Linked DNA regions of Schizosaccharomyces pombe. Changing the gene in region 3 together with the main gene of any one other region gives a genetic interaction. Each region holds a gene or a part of one and is shown on either strand. Other genes may lie near its edges.

The links. A genetic interaction does not mean that the proteins touch.
Region 1: mutations in ptp4 (region 3) and SPOM_SPAC12B10.01C together harm fitness more than expected from each alone (negative genetic interaction), as found in Schizosaccharomyces pombe (one large-scale study listed by BioGRID).
Region 2: mutations in ptp4 (region 3) and SPOM_SPBPB10D8.02C together harm fitness more than expected from each alone (negative genetic interaction), as found in Schizosaccharomyces pombe (one large-scale study listed by BioGRID).

What each region holds. Positions count from the first base shown.
Region 1 is NC_003424.3:4,568,509-4,579,161, forward strand, and holds SPOM_SPAC12B10.01C (ubiquitin-protein ligase E3), read right to left. Parts: upstream 7,136-10,653; 5' UTR 6,934-7,135; coding exon 1,990-6,933; 3' UTR 1,797-1,989; downstream 1-1,796. Other genes in the region: zds family phosphatase type A regulator Zds1, read left to right, coding at 1-1,615; acetylase Sdg1, read right to left, coding at 7,720-8,427; bun62 (WD repeat-containing protein), read left to right, coding at 10,119-10,653. UniProt on the Schizosaccharomyces pombe protein: E3 ubiquitin-protein ligase which accepts ubiquitin from an E2 ubiquitin-conjugating enzyme in the form of a thioester and then directly transfers the ubiquitin to targeted substrates.
Region 2 is NC_003423.3:81,433-89,168, forward strand, and holds SPOM_SPBPB10D8.02C (arylsulfatase), read right to left. Parts: upstream 4,087-7,736; 5' UTR 4,000-4,086; coding exon 2,335-3,999; 3' UTR 1,797-2,334; downstream 1-1,796. Other genes in the region: SPOM_SPBPB10D8.01 (cysteine transporter), read left to right, coding at 1-1,521.
Region 3 is NC_003423.3:1,274,643-1,281,392, reverse strand, and holds ptp4 (phosphatidate cytidylyltransferase Ptp4), read right to left. Parts: upstream 3,049-6,750; 5' UTR 3,036-3,048; coding exon 2,960-3,035; intron 2,923-2,959; coding exon 2,684-2,922; intron 2,362-2,683; coding exon 2,020-2,361; 3' UTR 1,594-2,019; downstream 1-1,593. Other genes in the region: ribose-phosphate pyrophosphokinase Prs5, read left to right, coding at 44-150, 573-1,491; mitotic spindle checkpoint protein Mad1, read left to right, coding at 4,334-4,445, 4,496-6,414; rps2501 (40S ribosomal protein eS25), read right to left, coding at 6,723-6,745. UniProt on the Schizosaccharomyces pombe protein: CTP-dependent diacylglycerol kinase that catalyzes the phosphorylation of diacylglycerol (DAG) to phosphatidate (PA). Controls phosphatidate levels at the nuclear envelope. Counteracts the activity of PA phosphatase ned1.

The DNA of each region.
Region 1 (10,653 bases), on a different chromosome or scaffold from region 3:
GATTGATAACGCCTCTGCAGATACAACCTTACATAAAGAGACGAATAAGATCGATAAGCTGTATGTTTCGGAGAATAAAGCTGAAAGTGCTGTTGCATCTGAATCTTCGTTATCCGAAGGTACTCTCGCATTGAAAGCACCGGCACCGGAAAACAAACCTGAAAAGTCTAGTACATCGAAACCGCCAGTACCAGAAAATAAGGCTGAAGATTCTGTTGTATTAAAGTCGTCGGTACCAGAAGATAAATCTGAAAATTCTATTGCGTCGAAACCGTCGGCAACGGAAGGTATACCGGAAAATGCTATTGCGTTGCAATCATCGGTACCAGAAAATAAGGCTGAAGATTCTGTTGTATTAAAGTCGTCGGTACCAGAAGATAAATCTGAAGATTCTGTTCCGTCGAAGTCGTCGGTACTGGAGGATAAACATGAAAATTCTGTTGAGATTGATAAAAAAGCAGATGACTCATTACCTTCTAATAATAAAACTGAGGGTTATACACCTTCAGTAGTCCGTGAGGAAAAGAATTATTCTGAACCGAACGCTTCTCCTTCCGTAATACCTCCTAGAGTCCCTACTCCTGTGCCTGGTAGGACTTTAAGTCCAAAGCCTACTAGGATACCCACGCCTATTCCTTCTTCTTTGAACGTTTCTTTAGAGTCCTCAAAAAAGCCAGAGATTTTTCATGAGCGTCATATTCCGACTCCTGAAACCGGTCCTAATAAGCCATCGAAAAACAATATTTTAAAAAGCACTCAAGTTCCCGTTACTCCAAAACAAAAATCATCCACTGCTAACAAAGGTTCAACTTCTTCACCAAGTCCACCCTCTTCTGAATCAAAGAAAACCAAGAGGTCCTGGGGCCGTCTTTTTGTGTCTGGTGATTCTGATAAAGAACACAAAGAACACAAAAAAGATAAACAGAAAAAGAAGAATGACCAAATTTCTTCTTCTTCAAAGTCTGCTTCTTCTTTTAAAAAGGACCGAGACAAGGAAAGCATTTTTGGATCTTTATTTGGCTCGAAGAAAAAGCAGACGGAAATACCCCCTGTATCTTCTTCTCCACCGCATAATGATGCCCCACCAAAAGCAAAGCCAATTTCCGCACCTAGTGAATTGCCCAATACCACTTCTGTCGCAGAAGCTAAGTGTCAGACAGTGACAGATGACGAAGGTACCGATCAACAAAGTGATGAAAAGAGTACGGAACCAAAAACGTTTATTCCTGATAAGGATTATTACTGGAGTCGTTTTCCAATTTGTACTGAACGTGCCATTTATCGTCTCTCTCATATAAAGTTGTCAAACGCGCATCGCCCATTGTTTCAACAAGTTCTCTTAAGTAACTTTATGTATTCATACTTAGATTTAATTTCTCGAATTAGCTCAAATCGCCCGATGAATAATGTACAACAGTCTACTGCTAAACCAATACGCAAAGACATTAATGGACAACAAAGGCGTTCAGAGTTTTCAGCAGAAAATGTAAAAAACGAGCTGGAGAATCTCAGTTATCAATTTGGAGATCAGCGTAAGCGAAATCTTAATAGGAAAGGATCGACTATTCATACCGTTTCTCAAAATATTCAAAAAGTTTCAAAGAATGCTAAATAATCATTTTACCCTACTGCTATTCGTTGGTCTAACATTTTTCCTCATTGGTTAATTATTAGCATTTGGCGACTTTTGTTATATGTTACAGGGTCTTCATTGTCTTTAAAAATTTGTATCTTGTTCACCAACACTTTCTGGAAGCAGGTGGTTATTTATTTTCATGAGTTAAATATAAAATTCTTACTCAATGCATAAGTTTCTAATGAATTTCATTCGCTATGCTACTTTACATTGTAAGGGGAGTACGAAGTTACCCATTCTATAATAAATTACCAATTCTTTTTCGCTTTATATTTGTACATAGCCTCTATTTTGAAGTAATCATAGAACGCTACTGAAGTGCTATACAATAACTTTTTTTTTCTAAACAATGCTTAGGATAAATGAAAACTGCCCTGTCCTTCTAAAATAGCCTTAGAAAGTCGACTTCCTAAAACCTCACTTGAAGAATACTCAGGTAGTTTCAAATAATTCACACAAGTCATCACGCTTGGAAGATAATCATCAGGTACATAAGGAGGTTCATTTAAGCGCCTAACAACAGTTAACGGGGGATTTAGGCCAGCAAATCCTCCAATAGGAAGTTTTCGGCTTCCAGTAATAAATTGCAAAAAGTCTCTTTGTTCTTGAAAATTCATTTGACTCATCAAAGTCAGTAATCTCTGGATTGTAGGACTTTCCATGGTGTAACCGTGATCTGCTACTATAGATTTCATCAAGGTCGCGTAACTCCAATCCTCATCGACAGTACCGAATAGTGTGACCAATTCATGTTCTGTCAAAACTTGCAAAGAAGTATAAGGAAAAACGCTGGAAAACCCATTTTGAAATGCTTCTAATTGTTGTTGAACACCCTTTCCAACAGTATAGTCAATGACATAATTTAAATAATCACTCACATTGAATGTTGTCACAGGTGTACTAGCTCCATCAGGTATGAGTTCAATAGACGGAAATCCCGGTAGAGTAAAATCGAGATGAAGGTCTTCAAGCTTAATGTCCGTCTCGGCGTTTGTAGGGTTTTTACCCGGTATTAATTTCTCTAAATATCGTAACGAGTTAGCTAAGCCCTTGTCAACTTTCGCTACAGAGGAAATGGTTAAAGGTATATTTCGTGCAAAGAAAAGTGGATTAAACTGAATGCTTATTATCCTTGAATCATAAATCGAGCGTGCAACGAACTGTCCAAGAGCAAAGAACAACGAAATTTTTCTTTCATTTTCTGGACTGGACCCTAATAATGGAATAGGAGAAGGAAAAAGTCCAGACGCTTGGTACACAAATTTAGAGTTGGGTTGATCATTCCGCCAAATATCGAGAGAATTTAAGGTAAATTCTTTAGATACTGAAGTATAGAACTCCAAAGTGGGCCCAAGACCTGAACCAACTTCATCTTCGTATTCTATTTCAAGAATATTTTCAGAAGCCGCATAAGTTGCAAGCAAATGCAAAGCGTAATTAAATATTTTTTTCCGAGAAATACGAATTTTCTGGCGATGTAAGCTGACAAATTGAAGTATGGAGGAACTTTCGTTTTTTGATAGCTCAGGATTTCGGGACAAAAGAAAAGAAACGGATCTTGATAAACCAAAAGCAGTAGATTGCAATAAAAGATATCGAGTTTCAAACGGTACTAGGAATGGATATGCAGAGGTTAGTGATATACACCAGGAGGGTAAACAACCGTGAACAACAAGTTGTTGCTCTTCAAGTTGTCTATTCAATTTGGCACTCAACTTCCAGTTGCTAAAATCTGTAAGAATGTTTTCAATGTTGCCACGGAAATGTTTGTCAGGAAAGAGGGTATGAACGTCTCTAATCCCATAATACAAAATACTCAATAAATCCAATATTTCTCTAATATTTATAGAAAATCCCTCTGTTTCATTCTCATAGTTTAACTCCCCTTTCATATCATTGTGAATGCAATCAGGCTCACCATAAAATATTGGGACAGGAGTTTTCCAAAAATCATCGAGAGTATGATCGTCAGACAACTGTATATACTCATATAAAATTCTGAATATTGTTTTGTTTCGGGGTACCTTTTTACCCATCAAACTGAATACAAAATGTTCCTCGAAATGTGATGATGTCGAGGAGTCACGTCGCTCTGATGGCTCTGTTGTGTGATTAGGAGCATCTTGAGACATTGAGTCAGTATAGTCTCCTGAAGAGTTACGAGATGATCCACTCATTGACTCCCTCAAAGAACCGGCCTCGCGGAGGATTGAAAAACGACGTCCAGTTTCATTACGCACAGAAATGCGACTGTGAAGATAATTATCAAGTGTACGAATAGTAGCTAGCCCATTAATAGAAACGACAAGAGATCGGAAAGGTGGTCGAATTCTTGATCCCGGAAGAGCCATTAAACGAAGTTTAAACTGCCGCGAAAAAACATGATCTACCGCATTCTCAGTATCTGGGGGTAACGTTGAAAGTTGAAAATTCTCAACAGTTGAAAGTAGATTTTGCAAACAAAAGATAAGTGAAACTAAGGGACCATTACCAAATTCTAAAACTTCGCGTTCATCACATGTATTCATAGCTAACAAAAATGTTCGAAGAGATGAACTTCCAAATTTTTTGAGTGATAAAAGCAAATTATGAATTAATCCAGAATGAAGTAATTCATGACTAGTAATATTAGATCCTTCTTGAAATATTTTGGCTAGTTCTGAAAAAGATTCGTCTTGTTTGGTCTCACTTAATAAATGTTTAGACAATTGTTTAAGTTGAACTAATGTTGAGTTTTCTAAATTTTCTTCCTTATAATTAGAGAGAAACTCCTTGGCAAGGCTCTTTAACGTCGATAAATTCTTCAACTCCTCATGACGAGCAGCAGATTTGTTTTGTGAAAAGGAAATACTTAACTTTATTTTCTTCATGTCTGCATTGGTAGAGCGAACTAAAAATCCAACCTCCTGTACAACGCCTTCTCGTATAAATAACGAAGAATAAACATTAGGAAGTGCTTCAAGCAAAAATAGACACATTTCTAAAGCATCTCGCTTCAAGAAATTGTCAGATTTGCGTGAATTTAAAATTGAAGCAATGAATGATGATAAAGGAAGAGAACAAACTAAGCCATCTAAATTATTTTCCCTAATTGAACATAACATTTTCAATGCCGTAGTCACAGCTAACGATCGGATATCATGAAGGGGCACAATAAAATAAATGTCCATTACAACAGTTAAGAGTATACTGTTTAATCGATATAGTTTCGTGTTAAATTCATCAGACAAGTTACTAGTGTTTTTAGGAAGCAAAGAAGTTATAGCTCTTAACAAGTTTTCTATTAACTCGATCGGACAATAATACAAACTTTGCATTGTAATCATATCAGCCTGATGGGATGTATCAGAAGGTGGTATTCCACACAGCATTTCGTACATCACATCCGGCAAATTATGGTTAAGAAAAGGTAAAATCAAAGCAGAAGATGACTGACACAAAGATGATATTATATGTAATAGCTGCACTTGTAAGTGCATTGACTTATTTTGTGAGGTAGAATTAGTCAAAGCATTGACAATAGTGGTGATCAAATCCTCGGAAATTATCGTTTCAATTATGTTTGGTGAAGTTTTCAAAGATTCAATAATTGTCTCCAGGCAAGAATATGCCTTACTAACGACTATGGTATCAGAAGATTGTAGAATATTAGAAAGCAATGGAATAATTTCTTCTGCTGCGGAAGCATTGGATTCATCCAAAAACTTACAGCAATTAGCAGCCAGAGAAATAGCTGTCCGTTGAACTGTAGTATAAAAAAAATCAAAGTATTGGAGAGCAGCTAACATTCCTCTGTGTTCCAAAATACAAATACCAAAATCTTTAGAAAGCCGTTCTAAAACTCCTAAAGCTTGTTCAGCAATATCAATGTATTGCATATCAAACATTCTTTCACACAGAATGCGAACAATAGGACTATATGCTATTTTAGCCATACATAAAGGCAAAGCTTCCATCATATTAGATACACAGGTAGTACAGGATAGCATAAGTTGAATAGAGACTTCTCCGAAATCATAATTTCGCCCAGATAAGATTTCGGAAAAAGCCGCAATGTATGAATCGGTTGAAAACAATCCAACAAGCATATCTTCAGTACTCATAGCAAACGCTTCGGAAAGTTCTTGAAGAGAAAGCATTTGAACAGTAGGATCACTAAAATCCTTTATTCCTTCTAACAAGCGTCCAAATTGAACACCTGGAGCAGAAAATGCAGAACGAAAAGGATGAAAGGAACTATTGAAACGGTATGTCTGTGGACCTAAAGAAACATCTTCGTCATCAGAGTTCTCCAAATTACCGGAAGAAAGTATAGAAGACGCTAAACTTTGAAACTGATTACCTCTTCTGATTCTTCCCAGTTCATTTAACAAGTTAGTTTCATCGTATTCTTCGATTCCACTCATGTTCATGTTTTCTTGTTCATTAATAACAGCGGCTGAAGGATTAGGTGAACCGTTTTCGCTTCTTAACTCGTCATTTTCATTTTCATCTTCATCGTCTCCCTCATCATTGTTTTCATCATCGTCTTCTTCCTCCTCTTCATCAACATCTTCATCTCTTTCATAACTTTCACTGCCACTACTGGATTCATCGTCTTTGTACTCGTTATTATTTATATCATCATCAGTTCCATCATTAGTATCATCATAGACGTGGTCATCTTGGTCATTATATTGGGACGAATCAGTAGAAGTATGATAGTTGCTGGAGTCAGAATACGTAGTTTCATAAGAGTTTGAATTCCCAAACTTGGTTAAGCCACTTTTGTCATTAAAAGTTATGTTCTTTGGTTCCATAACTGATTTATCAAATGGAATGATATCAACTTCCGCCTTTTTGTCTAATGCAGAATCAACCGAAGCATTGCTTAAAACGCGTTCATAAGAATTCAGTATATCCGATTGCTTATTAAGAGGCAACACACCTTTATCGGATTTCACTAACTGGGGTTTACCTTTGAGCTTTTCATTAAAGGATTTAAAGACCCTAGTTTTGCTCGTTGTAAGTGGTTGTTCAAGCAATTCGGAAAAATCATGCCGCATATTTAAATGCCTTCCAAATTCCACACTTTTACTAGAAGGTGGTTCAGAAATTTTGGCAGATACCTCCATTTTTAAAAAATGTTTAGTTGCTCTGCGTTTCTTTGTAAATGGCAATTCTTCAGAAGTGTTTAATCTATGTTTGTTGTCGGACTTACTTCGTAGGTTTGGTATAAACACAGGTGAGTTGGTTATAGATTCACTATGTATTAAATTCGGTAAATTCGGAGTATTCGTATACGCTTGAACAGACATGAAATAACAAAATGTCGCTCAGAAAGGCTAATTTAATAAACAAAATTTGGAAGCCTTTCGGCGAGCGATTGGAGTGATTGTTAATTACAATCCAACAAAACAATCAAGTAATTTCTGAACCAAGGAGACAAAATCCCAGTTTTAATTTGATCCTTCTATGATCTCTTGTTTAAGGCGGAATGTGCTGTTGACATAGGGAGATGGCAAAAGCGTCGACAACAAGGGCGCACCATTATGTTGCCGTAGTATGTGTTATAGTAATACGTTATTACTCTAAGTACTATTGTTTTTTTCTGTCTTTTACTGTCATTAAATATTTTTAAATTTGTTTTTTATTTGCAAGATGCTGTATTTTATTTATTGATTCAGCTTTGATTCACACTCGTTAAACGTACTTTTGTAGTCGATCGATTGTGTTTTTACAAGCATAATTGACGATAGTGAAATGAGATGCTCACTTAGTATTCACTAACATACATCAGTTATATAATATTAAGTTTACATTCAAATTGTTTTGTACAGTCTAGCGGGTACGAACTCTTGAACATGGAGCGGACGTAATGAAATAGTTTCTAAAACTTTTAACAATTATTCAACAACACGGTGGGTCTAGTTTTTGCCCTAGGTAGAAATTTACTTGAACGTCGTGAAATTCTTTCGTAACTATTTCACGAAAAAAATAAACACAAAACAAAAAGATTTAAAATATGAACATACAGCGAAAAACAAGTTGTAGCTGCGCAATTACATGCACGAAAGGGTAATATTTGCGGAAAGTTAAATAATCTATCTTCTATTTTCAAAACCAGGTTGTTCGCTCAAATTCTTTTGAAGCACTAAACGGCGCAATCCGAAAAACGATAGATAATCGAAAGCTTCATCAACTACAGGAGTAAAGTCTTTTCTTTCAAAAGCCTTCAACATTGGGTCGGTTGAATAAACTCGTGCTGAGACCACGTCAGCACCCATCTCCTTCGCCTCACGAAGTGCTGAATCTAGGAGATCAAACGCATACTGATAAAATTTAGGAATGACAGTCCAGTGGACAATAGTTGGTGTGTTTTGGTATGCACCAGGAGCATTTGCAGGCAAGATACCTATAATACCAATAACTCGTTCTTTGTCAATGCGGGCCATATAAAAATGTTTAAGATTCTCTTCAGCCAAGCAGCCGTCAGGTTGATTGTCTTCAGTGCTAATCTTTGCATACACATTTCTACAGGGAAATTCAATCAACGTCAAAAAGACAGCGCTAACCAATATTAATAAAACAAAAGTTCGTAATTTTGTATTTCCTTCTACCATGTTTGTTAAGCGATATATCCCCATAAACACCAAACCAAAAACCGCAAGATACAACGGGTGCCAAAAGATTTTTTGAGAGAGATTTCTCGATTGACCGTTCAACGCATTCATGGCAATCGATCGAATACTCGACAGCTCCGCAAGGGTGGGACGACGAATATCAATTCTTTTACGTTGCACATTCGACATTTTTATGTAATTAAATATTCTTTTTTGCTAATCTTTTTAAAATTTATTGTCACAATATTTCTTTTACAATTACCTTCTACTGTGAAATTTAAGAAGATGGAGGTTCGTAAGTGGAGTAGGTAAGAATGAAGCCATTATACCACCATAGATTTACCCAACCCTTGGTTGTTTCAGTCAATTTTTGCGAATTGTAATTTCATACAACTAGAATTTGATCAAATCTACCCTCTTATTAAATGATTGAGATTATTGATTCTATTGATAAATCACATTTAGGGTCAACTAGCTTTTAAAATGTTTTTAGGAATAGAAAAGAATATTGTGACGATCGAAGTAACATTTCTAGCTGAAATAACAATTGGATTTATAAGCTATATCTTCAGTTACTAAATAATTAGTTTCTACAATTTTTTTAGGCTTGAATATTAAATCTTTAAATAATTCCTAGGATAAAAAGAGTATAATGTATACATAGGAACAGAATATACATTTAAAAAAAATGGCAATTGAGTAGAGAAATAGGGAAGGTAATAATGCATCGATTAGATTGCATAACAAACTTTACATGAATCCGAAAACCAAGGATAGGAAATCCATTTACAGTATTTTTCACTATATAAATTAAAGCTTCATAGATTACACTACTTTCAGCGTGCCTATTTTGACCAAGAGTGAAAATATACTACACTCACAAAACGTATAAATGCTGAATTTTCACTTCTTGCAAGTTACAAATATTGCAAATTTCACCGTTTTCGAAATTCTTGTATAATAGGGCCTTACTAACTAGCTCATAACATTATAAAGCTATAACACAACGATAAGTTTTTTGAGTGATCAAAATTATTTTACACAGTTAATTTGCCAATGATTTGGTTATATTAAGAATTATAGATACTAAATAGTATTACACTTTACGAATAACTTAAAAACTATACTAAAGAAAGAAGTTCCATTGCATTATCCTTATTCTTAAATAGCTTTTGAATATAAAAAAGCAATGAAGAGTACCCAAGGGGACAGAAACGTAAATAATTCCTGACACGTAGTATATAGTGATGGTTAACGGGATACAATATAATCGTGCAAAGTGCTAATAAAGTTTTGTTTCAAAGCAATGCAGTATGTATCTGCTATATTTTAACGCAAGTTTAAAGAGTTCTTTATTTGAACTATTTAATGAGTTTTAAAAAATGTGATTGATCCAAATATTGCAAAGAATAGTGTATTGAAATATTTACCTCAAGCAGCTTCAATAAATGTTAAAATGAAACACATACCCTTTTATTAACGTAAATTGGGTTTGTTCTTTAATTAGCGTTATTTATGTCGCTTTCATATTATAAGTGACACGCTACTCCTTTAGAAGATTTCAACAAACTGTACGGTCGAGCTAGTCGGTTAAGAACATTTTACGATTTTGCAGGAAATTCAGTCTTCTGCATAAGTTTTAATTATAAATTAATTTGTTCGAATGCGATTTCGTATACTCCTATTTTAATTCTCATTGATTAATAAAAGAGAAAGCAGTAGCTTAAAAATCGCTCTTCTTACTAGATTCACTAATTTAAATACATTTCTTAATTGTCTTTTACGACTTCATTGAATAGAAACTTCTCAGTACTTGAGGTCGTTACCATTTGGATTGTTTCAGCAGAACTTTCACTTCTTATCCTTTACCTAACTATATTATGCAAACGATGTCTTCTGGAATTGCCCGTCCGGTTCTGTTTTTAACTGCTCGCGAGGGAGAATATGTTTTGAAGGATGAATTTCAATTAGGCAGTTCATCACGTTCTACTCCTCAAATTACCGGTTCACCTTTAGATCCAAACACGCCTGTAAAACGTCTGTTCTTTATGCGGATAAATATTGCTCAATTCTCCCGTTGGGATTACCCCTATCCACGAGAATATATTGAAGAACTTAAGAAAATTCATGGCGTTCATCATGTTGAAGAGAATAGAGATGTCCCCTCAATTCTTGAAAATTATCGCAATAGTAAACGAAAGTCCCACAACTTTTCTTCCTCTAACACTCCTTATTTGAAGCTTCACAGACCGGCCTCTCGTGCTGGTGCTCCTTTAATCAATGCTAAATCCTTTATCTCCTCCCTTACATTTCATGACAACATAGTACGTTCTTTTCAGCCTTCTATTCATGGTAAAACCTTTGTGTTTGCTAATCACGAAAAATCGTTTTATTGGCTTGATGTGAGTGCTGCTA
Region 2 (7,736 bases), 1.2 Mb from region 3:
CAGTCGCATCCAGATGTGTCAAATGCAGTGCTTGACGAAACGTTCAGTTTTATGCAAGAAGCTAAAGATCTAGAACCGCTCACACCTAAACAAGATAAAAGATTGCGTTGGAAATTGTATTTTACTGTACTTGTAATGCTCATGATACTGGATATGATGTTATACATTGACAAGGCCACACTAAGTTACTCAAGTATCCTTGGATTATTTGAAGATACACACATAAATAGCAACCAATACAATGATATAAATACGCTTTTTTATGTGGGATTTGTTATTGGACAGATCCCTGGTCATATGTTACTGCAAAGATTTCCCGTCAGTAAGTTTGTTGCTGCTTCAACGGCTCTCTGGACGATTATAATTTTCTTGCATTGCGCCGCATATAATTTTAGTGGTTTAATGGCACTTCGTTTTTTTCTGGGTCTTGTAGAATCCTCGTTGCTACCTACCATGGAAGCAACCATTGGCATGTTTTTCCCTCATTCTGAGCAAGCTCTTCTTCAGCCCTTTTTCTATATTTCATGCTATGGCTGTAATATTCCTGCAGGGTTTATAGCCTATGGAGTCCAATATGCAAAAAACACCATATCTCCTTGGAAGCTCTTTATGATAATCGTCGGAGGAATCACATTTTTTTTAACTATTGGACTCTTTTTTTATTACCCAGATAATACTTCTACTGCTAGATTCTTGACCAAGAAAGAGAGATTATACACAGTTGACCGTGTACGTAGAAGTAATCATAGCGGTATTGAGTCGAAGACTTTCAAGAAGTATCAAGTAATCGAGGCGTTAAAGGATCCAGTGACATGGTTATTTACTTTTCATGTTTTTTGCAATCAACTTTCCAACAATTTAGCTTACCAACAAAATTTACTTTTTACAAGCTTGAATGTTTCTGATTTGAATTCTACCTTGGTGGGCGTCGCTAGTGCCGGATATAATTGCGTTAGCGCAATTATAGCAACTTATATGATGAGTGTGATAAAAAACCAAAGTGCCTTTCACGGAGCTATATGGTATATCCCAAGTATTGCCGGAGGAATTGCGTGCGTAGCCATGTCATGGGATCATAAAATTGGGGAGTTAGCAGCTATTATTATAGCAAGCAATTTTGGTATCCCTTTTATTATTTCTCTTGGATGGACAACAGCCTCTTGTGCTGGATACACAAAGAAGCTTACTCGTGGTGTTATGTTTATGATTGGATATGCCATTGCCAACATCATTGGCCCACAAATGTGGCAGAGTCGTGATGCCCCGAGATATTATCCTGCTTGGATTGTTCAAATAGTAATTGCTTGGTCTGTTTCTCCCTTTGTATTGCTGATCATTCGCTGGATTCTTGTTCGAAGGAACAAAAAGCGCCTTGCTCTTCTTGAGCAGAATAAAGAACAGTATGAAAAGACTTGGATTGAGACGATTGATTCTTCTGGAAATCACGTTTCCGGTTTTTACGAAAATTCTATGCTTGATTTGACAGACCAGGAGAACCTATCGTTTATTTATCCCTTATAATTATCCATTTAAACGAAGGAATAAATCTTAAAAAATAACTTTTTGAAGTATTCATGAGAAATGTTTACAAAATAATTTCAAATTCCCAACAGTCATGAAAAATCCTTCTACTATTTGCTTTTTTTTTTGCAAAATTTTGTATTTTTAAACTACTTGCCCGTAAACTCTTAACTTATTTTAGACTACTACAAGACAGTTGCTTTATTTACTTGTTTTTTTGTTTCCTTTAGGATTCCTAACCTTTAATAGTAATCTTCGTCTTTAGCGAAGAATAGTTTGAAATTTTGTTTGTATATATTGCTGAAAGCTTTATTCAGTTACTATTTACATAGATTGAAAAGAAGAACTAGCATTCATTGCTAAATAAAATGGAGGTCGATTTTTATCCCCAATGGTTTCTCATAGTTTACTTTGCTGCAAAGTTGCGATTGAAAAAGAGATGTTCTAAAAAAGTATTTTTATATCAATTATAAAGCCTAATACGTAGGGGAAATCCAAACCAGTTAAATTTTTCAGCTCGGCTTTGCATTCCATCTGATAATTTTCGCTGTAGATTATCATATTTAAAAAACATTGAATCAATTGGTAACTTAGCATATATACGTTGATAGATGAAATCAGCTATTATTAGATTTTATAATCTTTAAACTGTGGTGTTTAATAAGTAAAAGACTGGAAATAGCCCATTAAATTAAACAATTAGCTGAACCCGAGTTCCATATTTGCAATAAGTTTTTTACCATTAATAAACTGCTATGTGGTGTTTCATTAACAGTAAAAAATTATTGTAAAATTCAATATCATGAATAATCATTAAAGATTGTGCTTAGCTGGTTTGAACAAACCGACGTTTTCGGCAACAAAATCGTCTGGGGCTGTTACTACTCCAGTTTCAGCTTCGTAGACCAACCAATACTCGATGAGTTCGTTTAGAATATCTGGATGGACTTTCGCTAGATTTTCAAGCTCACCTTTGTCCTGGGAAAGATCATACAGCTCCCATTCTGTTTTTATTCCTTCTTTAGGTACATATATTGCCTTATAATTTCCTTTTCTGATAGCTCTTTGCCCGAAAAGTTCCCAGCCGCTAAAGTCAGTATCTTTGTGTACGGGTTTTCCATGCACAAAATGGTCAATCCAAGGTTTCCCACGGGGGATTACAACATCTCGTCCTTGAAATTTGTGCCCTGGGTGAGGGACTTCTGCTAACTCAAGGATGGTTGGCAGGATATCCATAACCGTAACAAACTCATCGGAGATGATGTCTGGCTTGATCAATGGAGGATAGCGAATTATAGCAGGACATCGAATACCACCTTCTGTAATAAAACCCTTGCTAAGTCGAGAAGGAGCGGTCGCAGCCTGTGCCCATCTTGGTCCGTACCAAATAAATGAATTATAATTACCCAAGTTTTCCAGTGAATTGTCAAAATACTTAACCGGTGGTTTTGTGCTTAATACCGGGATTGCTTCCAAAACTGACCCTTCTGCACCGTTGTCTGACATAAATATAACAAATGTGTTGTCAAGTTCTCCAATAGTTTTCAAGTAGTCAATAACACGACCAATATTCAAATCTAATAATTCGACCATTGCAGCATAAACTTCCATCGTTCGCGCAGAAAATTCTTTCTCTTCTGTTGTTAGTTCGTCCCATGACTTGGTTCCCATTCCATCTACAGGTGCTGGAATTACATTTTCTGGTATAAGTCCCAAATCCTTTTGGGCTTGCAAGCGATTTTTTCGTAACACATCGGGGCCTTCACTATATCGTCCACGATATTTATTAATATATTCTTTTGGTGATTGCAACGGCCAATGAGGTGCTGTAAATGGGAGGTAAGCAAAAAATGACTGGGATTTTTCACGATTTTTTAACTGATCAATTAATTTTTCTGCAAAGTAATTGGACGAATAAAAATTTTTTAAGCTTTTGTGATCAACAGGATCATGATTGTGGGTATACAATGGTGGTAAAAAAGGTACAGCAGGGTTTTCTCTAGTACCAGGTTCATATGCAAAATGATTACCACCTCCAGGTAAAAGTGCAAAAGATTCTTTAAATCCTCGCTTTGAAGGGTAACGATCTGGGGTTAGTCCAAGGTGCCACTTTCCAGACATTGTGGTATAGTAACCCGCTTCCTGTAGAATCTCTGGTAATGCAGCAACTCTATCATTTAGGTAGCCTTCGTACCCAGGCTTTCCACCCCATACTTTCGAAAACCTGCGTACTGTCTCTGCCATTTGCCCTAAACCTGCTATGTGATTGTCTGTACCGCTTAATAACATAGATCGAGTAGGCGAGCAAGCAGAGGCTGTATGAAAGTTTGTCAACCGTACACCTTCCTTTGCAAGCCTCTCAATATTTGGAGTGTGTATTTCACTTCCAAACGGAGAAACATCTGACCATCCAAGATCGTCAGCTACGATGACCAAAAAGTTTGGTTTTTTAGATTCAGCTTGTTTATTAAAAGCCATAGTTACTATTCAAATTTTTTTTGATTGCGAATAAATTTTTATGCAGCTCAAACTGTAATTTTTATTTTATGTTCATAAAGGGCATGTGAGACAAGAGACAGCCCACAAGTTGATTAAAATATGAAAAAATATATTTGCAACAATTGTCTTCCGTAATAGATTGCAAAATTACAAATACCTAATGAAGAAGTATGGCGTGCTATCACGTAAGCTTTGAGTAACATCATCCATATTAAAAAAGATACTCATACATTCCAATTTACTGGATCAAACTGTAATTTACTTATCTGAATATTTTAGAGATAAGATTCAGTAAATCAAGTTTAAAACTAATTACTGTCACTCACTCAATATGTGCAAAACTGAGTTTACTGACCAGGAATTGACTTTTTTTTTTTATTTATCAAGGAAATATTAATTGAGTTATCAATCCCAAAGGAAAATATGTGAAAATATTTAAACACTCGCCAAATTATATTAATTGATCTTTATATCAATAAATGCTTTACTCTAGAAAAAATCGGTTTCGGTAATATACTACAAAGGAACCTAAATAGATTTTGAAGCTTTATACATATAAGAAAACATTAATTTTCTAAAAGATACCAAATGATAATTAACAAGGACGTCGATTTTCGTTATTTTGAACTTTCAACGAGAAATGTCAGTGGAAGATTCAACATATTTTCTATGAGATAAATTAGATATAATAACATTTTGCTTTTGACAATAACTGAGAAAAATCATATTTATACCTAGATTTGTTGAGTGATACGAATTTCATACAATTTAATGGGGGTAAACTGCGATTAAAATTACGTTTTGGTCCTTTGTATTGTCTTATTGATATGAAATATCAGACACGAATATTTTCATACTAAGTGGTAATAATTAATTTACAACTGACCTCGGATTCTCTTTTCGTTTGAAATTAAAATAATACTTAATTATTACAATTGGAATTTAATAATCTCGATTAGTGGACGTAATATATATGAAGATATGAAGAGTATAAAAGTATCGAGATGTATCATAATAAAGCTTAATGCTATATATCTGAAGATTTTTTTCTTGGTAAATTGTTTCCGTAACTAAGGGCCGTCCAATAATTAGACTTCCTAAGTTCAAAAATAGTGGACCAATTGTTAAAAAATACAGATAAAGAACATCTTAAGACATTCACAATATACAAAAACAACTTGTTTCAATTGTAGGAACTTGTAAAGTTAAAGGATTAAGTTGTTGTACAGAAAGGATCTTTGCGTAATGTTGGATCCGAGAAAAGATGTAACATTCTCAAACAATCCATACATCATTTCCCTTCAACGCACTTTTGGTACTATCAATTGCAATTATAAGTGAATTCAAATTATATCAAAAGAGTTACGTAAATTCATATTTATCAGATTTGGTCTGATATTATGTTAAAGTGTAAACTTATTGAGCAGCACCCACTATTTTCTTTTTACTCATTATTATATCGGATGTATTCAAACTTGGTTTACATTTAAATAGTAATAGCAAATCGTTTTAATTACAAATTAGAATTTACACGTGTTAAGTTGTCATTGTTACTCGGTAAATGCATCCTAGATTATGACTATAATAATTTTGTTTAAACATTCCTTTTCTTAGCATGTTTTCATTTGTGTTCGATGGGTAAAAAGCTAATAATATTATTATAAAATAAGCTGTATTATAATAATAGGTTGTCTGAGCCGAAGCAAGTAATTGTGCTAACTACATTCCCATATACGCTTATTATTGCAAGGAATTTTAAATGACTTGGAAATGATTAAAAAGCAAAATTAATTGGCTGTTCACTTTTATATATAATGTAGCGGCATGTAAAGTGCTACTAGTATAGGCATATAAATATTTATTTGAGCGGACATCTTTTTTTAACTATAGTACTTGGAAAAATCGTATACGGTGGATCATTAGCTGATTAAACCAGAAATATTACAACTTAGTTCAACAACGCATTATTGAAAGTGAAAGCGAGTCCTCAGATGAGCAACATGAAGTATATCAAAATGGTATTATCTACGATACTGATTAAAAGGATGAAGCATCTATATTTGAGAAATTAGGTGATGATGAATCTGCTCATGAGGACAATATGCTTGAACTTGGAGAGCCCTAGGAATTTTCGAAATTTTTTTGGAAACGGAGAAAGCTAGATCCAAACTCCATTACAACAAAAAAATCCATTTTTGATGATCCTAATACGTTAGCTGCTTTCAAACCTAGTCCTTACTATGAAAGTAGACACCGCATCGATCCTTTTTTTAGATGGATATGGGTCAGGAACAAAAAGTTGTTCGTAAAATAGATATGCTCATTATTTCATGGGCATTCATTATGTTTTTTGCACTAGAATTAGATCGTGCCAATATTCAACAAGCCCTTTCAGATAACATGTTGGATGATTTAGGAATGAATACTAATGATTACAATAAGGGTATGACAATATTTTATTGTTCCTTTTTAGCGGCAAAACTGCCATCTCAATTAATTAGCAAGAAGATAGGTCCCAATCGCTGGATTCCAACCCAAATGGTTTTATGGAGCATTGTTTATATTTGTCAATATTCTTTAAGTGGAACAGCATTATTTTAAATTATGAGATGGCTTCTAGGTATGCTTGAAGGAGGGTTTATTCCCGTCGTCATCTTGTATTAATCTTATTTTTATAATGGACAAGAAATCTCTTTACGCTTAGCAATTTTTTTGGATTTCTAATACCTTGTCAGATATTTTTGCTTTTATTGTAGCTGTAGGCATATTAAAGATGCGTGGACTTCATGGAAAGCCAGGTTGGGCATACTTGTTTTTGACTAAAGGTTTTATTACTTTATTGGAGGATTATCTATTTATTACCACCAAGTCCAATGCAAACGGCTTCATGTTTCGAGGGAGAAAGGGATGGTTTTCTGAGAGAGAAGAGAAAATAATTGTTAATAAGGTTCTCAGAGATGATTTTGCAAAAGCTGAAATGCATAACCGAGAAGCAATTACTCCAAAAACTCTATTCCAAGCAATTAAAAGTTGGAAAATGTATCCATTGTATATCATTGGGTTGCTATTTGAAATTCCTAAAACTCCTCCTACTACATATTTAACCCTTACTTTAAGAATTCTTTGGTTTTCGACTGTAAAGACTAATTAGTTAACTCTTCCATCAAAATTTATTCACATGTTTTTACTTTTGTTTTTAAATTACCTGAGTGCTCTCCTTGATGAACGATCTTTAGTTTCGCTAATTGGTTAAATATGGCTTCTTCCGCTATTGATTGCACTTTACTGCTTCCCTGCTAATGAAAATAAGTGGGTGATTTATGTCATTTCAGCATTAATTGTTGGCAGCCCGTACTCTCATGGAATTCAGGTAGGTTGGTGTTCGCGTAATTCTAATTCTGTAAGAAACAGAACAGTTTCGGCTTCACTTTATAATATTTCTGATCAAATCGGGTCTATCATTTCTTCAAATATTACCGTAATGATGATAAACCTCTTTATCCACGTGGTAATAGAGTTCTTGGTATTTGCTGCCTTAATATTTTTGTTTATGTCTTATCTAAGATTTTTTATGTAAGCTTAAACAAATATCGTGATCGAAAATGGAACGCAATGACCGAGAACGAAAAAAATGAATTTGGAAACAACCAAAGACACAGGAACGCATCGTTTGGATTTTCGATTCGCCCATTAACTCTCGAATTTGAATATATGAT
Region 3 (6,750 bases):
AGCTATTTAACCTGAACAAGGTTGTTTCACCTAAAACAGAACAATGAAAAATTTGGTTGTTTTTGGTACAGAATCGCATCCCAAGCTTACAGAAAGTATTTGTGAACATCTTTGTCTTGATATAGGCCGGGTTGAACTTTCAAAGTTTAGGTAAGAAAGTACATTTGAGTGTTCGAAGAGTTTGTAGCAATTGGGAGGGTTGGAGTTGCCTATAAATCTTCTATTTATAATGATTTTCTTTAAAAGCTAAAGTCACTACTGAAAGTATGCCGTTTTACCCAACCATGATACGGGTCGATAGCTATCAAAAATTTTAGATAGTCGAGTAGCTTGCCCCTACTGACAGTTTTATACTCGCACTTTCAGTCCATTAATTGTTAATTGGTTTTTACTTTATGTTTAATTCATAATTATTTGATCTTAGTCTCTATTTAGTTAATGTTTTTAGTGACTGATAAAGATTTGGCAGCATCATCTTTGAATGCATACTCTTATTCCATTTTTGATTCCACCTCTTTATCACATCTATCTATGTTTTTCTATTTGATTATATTAACGTGTATTTATTGCAGCAATGGCGAGACTTCGGTGAGAATTAAGCAGTCCGTTCGTGGTTGCGACGTTTATATTGTTAGTCCAGCATCTGGACAGGTAAACGACCATTTAATGGAACTGTTAATTATGATTTCTGCTTGTAAAACAGCATCTGCTAAAAAGGTTACCGCCGTCCTTCCTGTATTCCCATATAGTCGTCAACCTGATCAAAAATTTTCCTTTTCCGGTGCTCCTTTATCTGACTTGCAAGATGCGGTTGTTCCATGCAAAAAGCAAACTGGTTATCACCCATGGATTGCACAATCCGGCACGCTAGTAGCTGATTTGCTTATGTGCTCTGGTGCTGACCATATAATCACAATGGATCTTCATGATCCCCAATTTCAGGGCTTTTTTGACATCCCTGTAGACAATCTTTTTGGCCGACCATTACTTAAACATTACATTTCTCTTAATATCCCGAATTATCATAACGCAGTAATTGTATCTCCCGACGCTGGTGGTGCCAAACGTGCTACTGCTATTGCTGATGCTCTGGGTTTGGACTTTGCTTTAATTCATAAGAATCGCCGACATGAATACGGAACATCTTTGATGCTTGTTGGTGATGTACAAAACAAAGTCGCCATCCTCATCGACGATCTTATTGATACCGCTTACACACTAGTTCGAGCAGCAGAGTTTGTCAAAGAACATGGAGCTAGCAAAATCTATGCTCTCGTCACTCACTGTGTTTTATCAGGAGATGCTATTGAGCGTGTAAAACTTTCTTGCATTGACAAGCTTATTGTTACAAACACCGCTCCTCAAACTATTACACCAAGTGGATGTTTTGACATAATCGATGTCGCTCCTACCTTTGCGGAGGCAATTCGTCGCATACACAATGGTGAGAGTATTTCAATACTGTATGACCACAATCAAGTTTGGGTTTAACTGTACGTTGTTCATATTATTTAATTTGTTTTGATCTAGTTGGCTTAAGACTATCCGATTTTTTTTGATACTATCAATTGTCCTTTTTCTTTACTTTAACTTTAGACAGTTACATTGGAAATAATTATTATTTACTTTGAGTTGACAAAATGATTATCAAGCTAATTTCCTAAAACTAATTTCAACTTAGCTAATCTCTAGTGTAAAACTGCTAAATATAAGGTTCTTCACGACCATTATATATGTACAAGCTATGTAGAAACTATATAGGCAGTCTAATTGCACGATTTCGTCATGTTTCATACAAAAAGCCTAAAATTGTCTGGGTAATGAAGCTTGTAGGTATTTCTATACATTTTAACAGTATGTACGCATACTGGTTAGACGGAAAAAAGATGAACAATAGAAATGGTGATAAATGGAGGAGCGAATCAACAAAACATAACTATATTCAATAATTTTTCAAACGTGGTCGGGAAAGGACGAATGGAAAAAACAAAAGAATGTCAGTATAAAAGAACATGGTTATCACATGATTAAATATAGTAAACAGGCAGAAACGACAGGAATTACAAGGTTATCGTCAAGACCCCACACATCCATAGCTTCTGCAAAGGCACCAATAAATCCATTTATCAAGCAAAGCCAAGGGAAAGGAATTCTGCTTTGAGCGGCCAAGCTGTCAGGACCGGTACGAAACAAGCCCCAGTACACATAGCAACAAAAAACACCACAAACGAATGCGCCCAAACTTCCAGCCAAACTCTTATTTTTGGCAATTTTCGGGGTATACTTGCCCCATTTTCGACCAACGGTTGAGGCAGTAGTGTCACACCATGACAGTAAAAGGACACTCATTACTGCTATCTCCTGAACTTAGTTAGTAACTATGGCATAATATATAAGTAAAAGAAGAAGGAAGGTGAAGTTAGGAAAAGATCAAGCAAGGCAAAGTAGATTTGAGTAATCATGATCAAAAATACTAACTTAAACTCTATGCAACAACAATATGCTTGGTCTGACAAATACTTAGAATAGAAAATCATTCTCCGTGAAAAAATGGGTTCTATAGAGTAGTATGTCCAGTAAAAAACAAAACCCTTCGGATCGCCTGGAACAAGGAAAACCATATCTTCCTTTTTCTTAAAGAATAATAACAGTAATGATAGACATTACAATGACTTTTACTTACCTCTGGAAAAACTTTTAAAACAATCCATACCCCGATCATATAAAAAATAACACCATTCCATGCATTTTTTTCGGACTCTCGCATCAAAGGACCAATAACGCGATTGTAAAGGCGGCTGAAAGCTGGCCAGTTAAAACGAATTACATCTCCAGTAAATGCAGGTATGAATCCAATTTCTATAACCGGTATGATTTGAGCAGCGTGGTATCCACATCCCTGAAGTAATAGAGCAAAAAATCCTAGACCCGGTTAATCCAAGTCATAAAAACAACTTACCAATAGAAGTATGGAGTGCTTTACGGGGAATTTCATGCTTTTTGGACCATTGCGACCACGTCAATTTAGTCGACATTGGATGAGTATTCGCTCAGTAGTGTTTTCCAATCTAAAGGTATTTCTAATGGGTAAAAAAAAAATAGCGATACCGGCCGTGATGCAAGGAATCGGTATATGCGAGGCAAGGAATGTTCTCGCATATAGCTCACTATTTTTTTATCGTTGCACTATTCCTCCTTATTCCGTAAACATTATGAGCTAAAGTCAAAATTAATAGAATGAATGACTTCCTGAGAGTCCCAAAAGAAACCGATTTATTTCCTTCATCAGTTGGAAAAAATTTATTTATTTATCACTGCCAATATAAGAGCTCGACTTCCTAGATGAATAGCATAGCTTTGAAAGTGATTCGCAGGATGACTCAGTATCAAAACGAATGGGTTATACACTATATGGCTTTAGATGTAAATATTCTTTAGATGATATATTAAGAGAATTAATAACTGCATCGACATACAGCCAATGCAGAATCATTTATAAGTCACTGAACCTTCAGAATAGCGCAACGTGGATTTCGCTACTTTACGAAACTTTAGATGCTATTGTGAGCTCTTACGTTTCGCTTTTTGTTGTCAAATATGGGAGAATTAATTGAAAATATAAAGACAATTCTCAAGTACGCGAAAGTTTCTATTAAAAAGTAAAATGATAACTTGAATATGTATGCTAATAAAATTCCTAAAAGAAACTGAAACCATTTTAGAGCTTATATCATTGCCAAGCAATTTTGAAAATTAAATGCGAAAACCATTATTCTTTAGTTGATGAACTAGAAGTAATAATTTTTATTTAATAATAATAAGTCTGCTCAAAATCAGGTTTATTTTCAGTTATTGGTTAATTGTTCAAATTGAAGTTTTATTAAAAAAAAAAAAAAAAAAAAAAAAAAAAACTATTATAATTTATGTTAAGACTACGTAAGTTCCTTAGGGTACGCGATTTGGTCTAGCAATTTAAATAAATAATAATAATATCAATATAAAAAAACTAGAAGACTTAAAAGCTTTTATGTTCACACGTGCATCGAAAATTGATTAAGGAATTCAACACATTAAATATATAATATAATAATAACAAGGTCTATGATTTAAAAAAAAAGAAAAAGTAATAAGTTCCATTAATTTAGATATCATTAAACAAGTATGTTGTTTGAGCATATGCAGTCAGTCCTACCTTTCTTTAATTCCCTGATTTCAATAAATTACTGAGATGCAATTTGTCCTCCATATTGTCAATATTATATTAAAGAGGTATACCAAAAATCAATTTCTCACTATGAGCTCCAAGCTGACAGTGTATCAAGCGACTACATCCATGGCGGATTCTCCTAGGGATCCGTTCCAATCGCGTTCACAGTTGCCTAGATTTCTAGCAACAAGCGTTAAGAAACCAAATTTGAAGAAGCCTTCTGTTAATTCTGCTAATGGTATGTGAAACTTATATTTGACGTTTGTTTATGGATCTGACACCCTGTAGAAACAAAAAATCCCAAACTAGCTTCTTTAGAATTTCAACTAGAAAACCTAAAAAATGATTTAAAGCGGAAGGAACTGGAATTTGAGCGTGAACAAATTGAGTTGCAAAGAAAACTTGCAGAAGAACATGAACAGAAGAATTCGTTACAGCTGCGTCTAACTCTAGTTGAAAAGCAACTGGAGGAGCAGTCTACTTCTTATCAAAAAGAAATAGAAGAAGTAAGAAATGAAAAGGAAGCCACTCAGGTGAAGATCCATGAACTACTTGATGCAAAATGGAAAGAGATTGCAGAGTTGAAAACCCAGATAGAAAAGAATGATCAAGCTTTAAGTGAAAAGAATCATGAAGTAATGGTCTCAAATCAAGCTTTGCAAATGAAGGATACCAATCTTACAAACCTTGAAAAACTCTTTGCGGATTCCCGCGAACAGCTTGAAACGAAGTGTAAGGAACTTGCGGCTGCCGAGCAGCAATTACAAGAGCTTTCAGTTCATAATCAGCAATTGGAAGAGTCCATCAAGCAGGTTTCTAGTTCTATTGAACTGGAAAAAATAAATGCTGAGCAACGTCTTCAAATTAGCGAGTTGGAAAAATTAAAAGCTGCGCAGGAAGAACGAATTGAAAAGCTATCATCCAATAATAGGAATGTTGAAATTCTCAAGGAAGAGAAAAACGATTTGGAGTCCAAACTTTATCGTTTTGAAGAATATAGGGATAAGGTTGCTACCCTTGAACTCGAAAATGAAAAAATTCAAACTGAATTAAATTCTTGGAAGAGTTTAATTACTAACGAGTTACCAACCCCTGAAGCTGTTTCAAACAAACTCGTGTTTCTACAGAATACCAATGCTAATCTCGGAGAGCGCGTTTCTAGTTTAGAGAGTCAATTGTCTAATAAGCCTGCAAACCAGCCGCTTGGTGCAAATGAAAAAGACGCCGCTCATATTACCGAACTTGAAACAAAGCTTAAAGAACTTCATGAGCAGAACCGACGTCTACAAAGACAAAAATCTTTGGCAACCCAAGAAATTGACCTTTTAAGGGAAAACCTTAAAAGCTATGATGATGAGGAGGCGATTTTGAGTGAAAAAAATACTGATATGAAGAAGTTGGAAAGAATTGAAGGTCTGGTCAAGCTGGTTGATGAATATAAGCTAAAGCTTGAAAGTATGCCTGTATCTCTTGATGTAGATGAGACTTCAGATGAGGTCTCATTACAAAAGAGACGCAGGAAAAACGAACATAAAGATGCTGGTTACGTAACGGAGCTATATCGTAAGAATCAGCATTTGCTTTTTCAAGTTAAAGAGAAAACCAACATTGAAGCCTTTCTAAGGGAGCAGATTATTACATTGGAATCCTCCATAGCAACTTTACGTCAAGAACTGGCACAAGTTACTGAAATAAACTCATGTCGAGTATTACAGCATCGATCCAATCCTACTTTGAAATATGAGAGGATTAAAGCTGCGCAATTGGAGATGCTGAATGCTGAGAACTCAGCTTTGAAAGCTCTTTTGGAAGATAAAAAGGTTGATTGTCTACCTATACAATCATTTAAAATAGCTGAAAGAAAGGCCTTGGATTTAAAGAAAGAAGTAGCCGAGAGAGAAAAGAGAATTCAACGGTTAAAGGAGATTTTTTCAGTAAAGTCTTTGGAATTTCGCGAAGCTGTTTTTTCGCTTTTTGGATATAAGCTCGATTTTATGCCTAATGGGAGTGTTCGTGTTACATCCACATATTCTCGTGAAGATAATACCGCTTTTATATTTGATGGCGAATCCAGCACCATGAAATTGGTTGGTAATCCATCAGGCCCCGAATTTGAGCGCCTTATACGATTTTGGTGTGATGAACGCAAAACAATACCAGGCATGTTAGCGGCTCTAACGTTAGAGCTTCTTGACAAAAATGATTGATTAACTTACGCCTTAAGCATCATCTTACAGGCGATGAATATGTACACTAACAAATACGCATAATCAAAATGTGAAAAGTAATACTTTTTTATGAAATAGATTGTTTAACTAATAATATCAATATATCCTTCAATGTCGATACAATGAAACTGTAAACAGTTTGTACTGGCCTAAGCGCTAAATATATTTCACCATTACAAACTAGTCAAAACTGCTAAACCATTTTAATCATCTTACGAATTCATACGCACAATAGAAATTGTTGAATACAACCTTCAAAATAAATTTATTTTTCGTTCTCAAGTCATTTAAGCTGAAGCAGCCGCACGAGCTAGA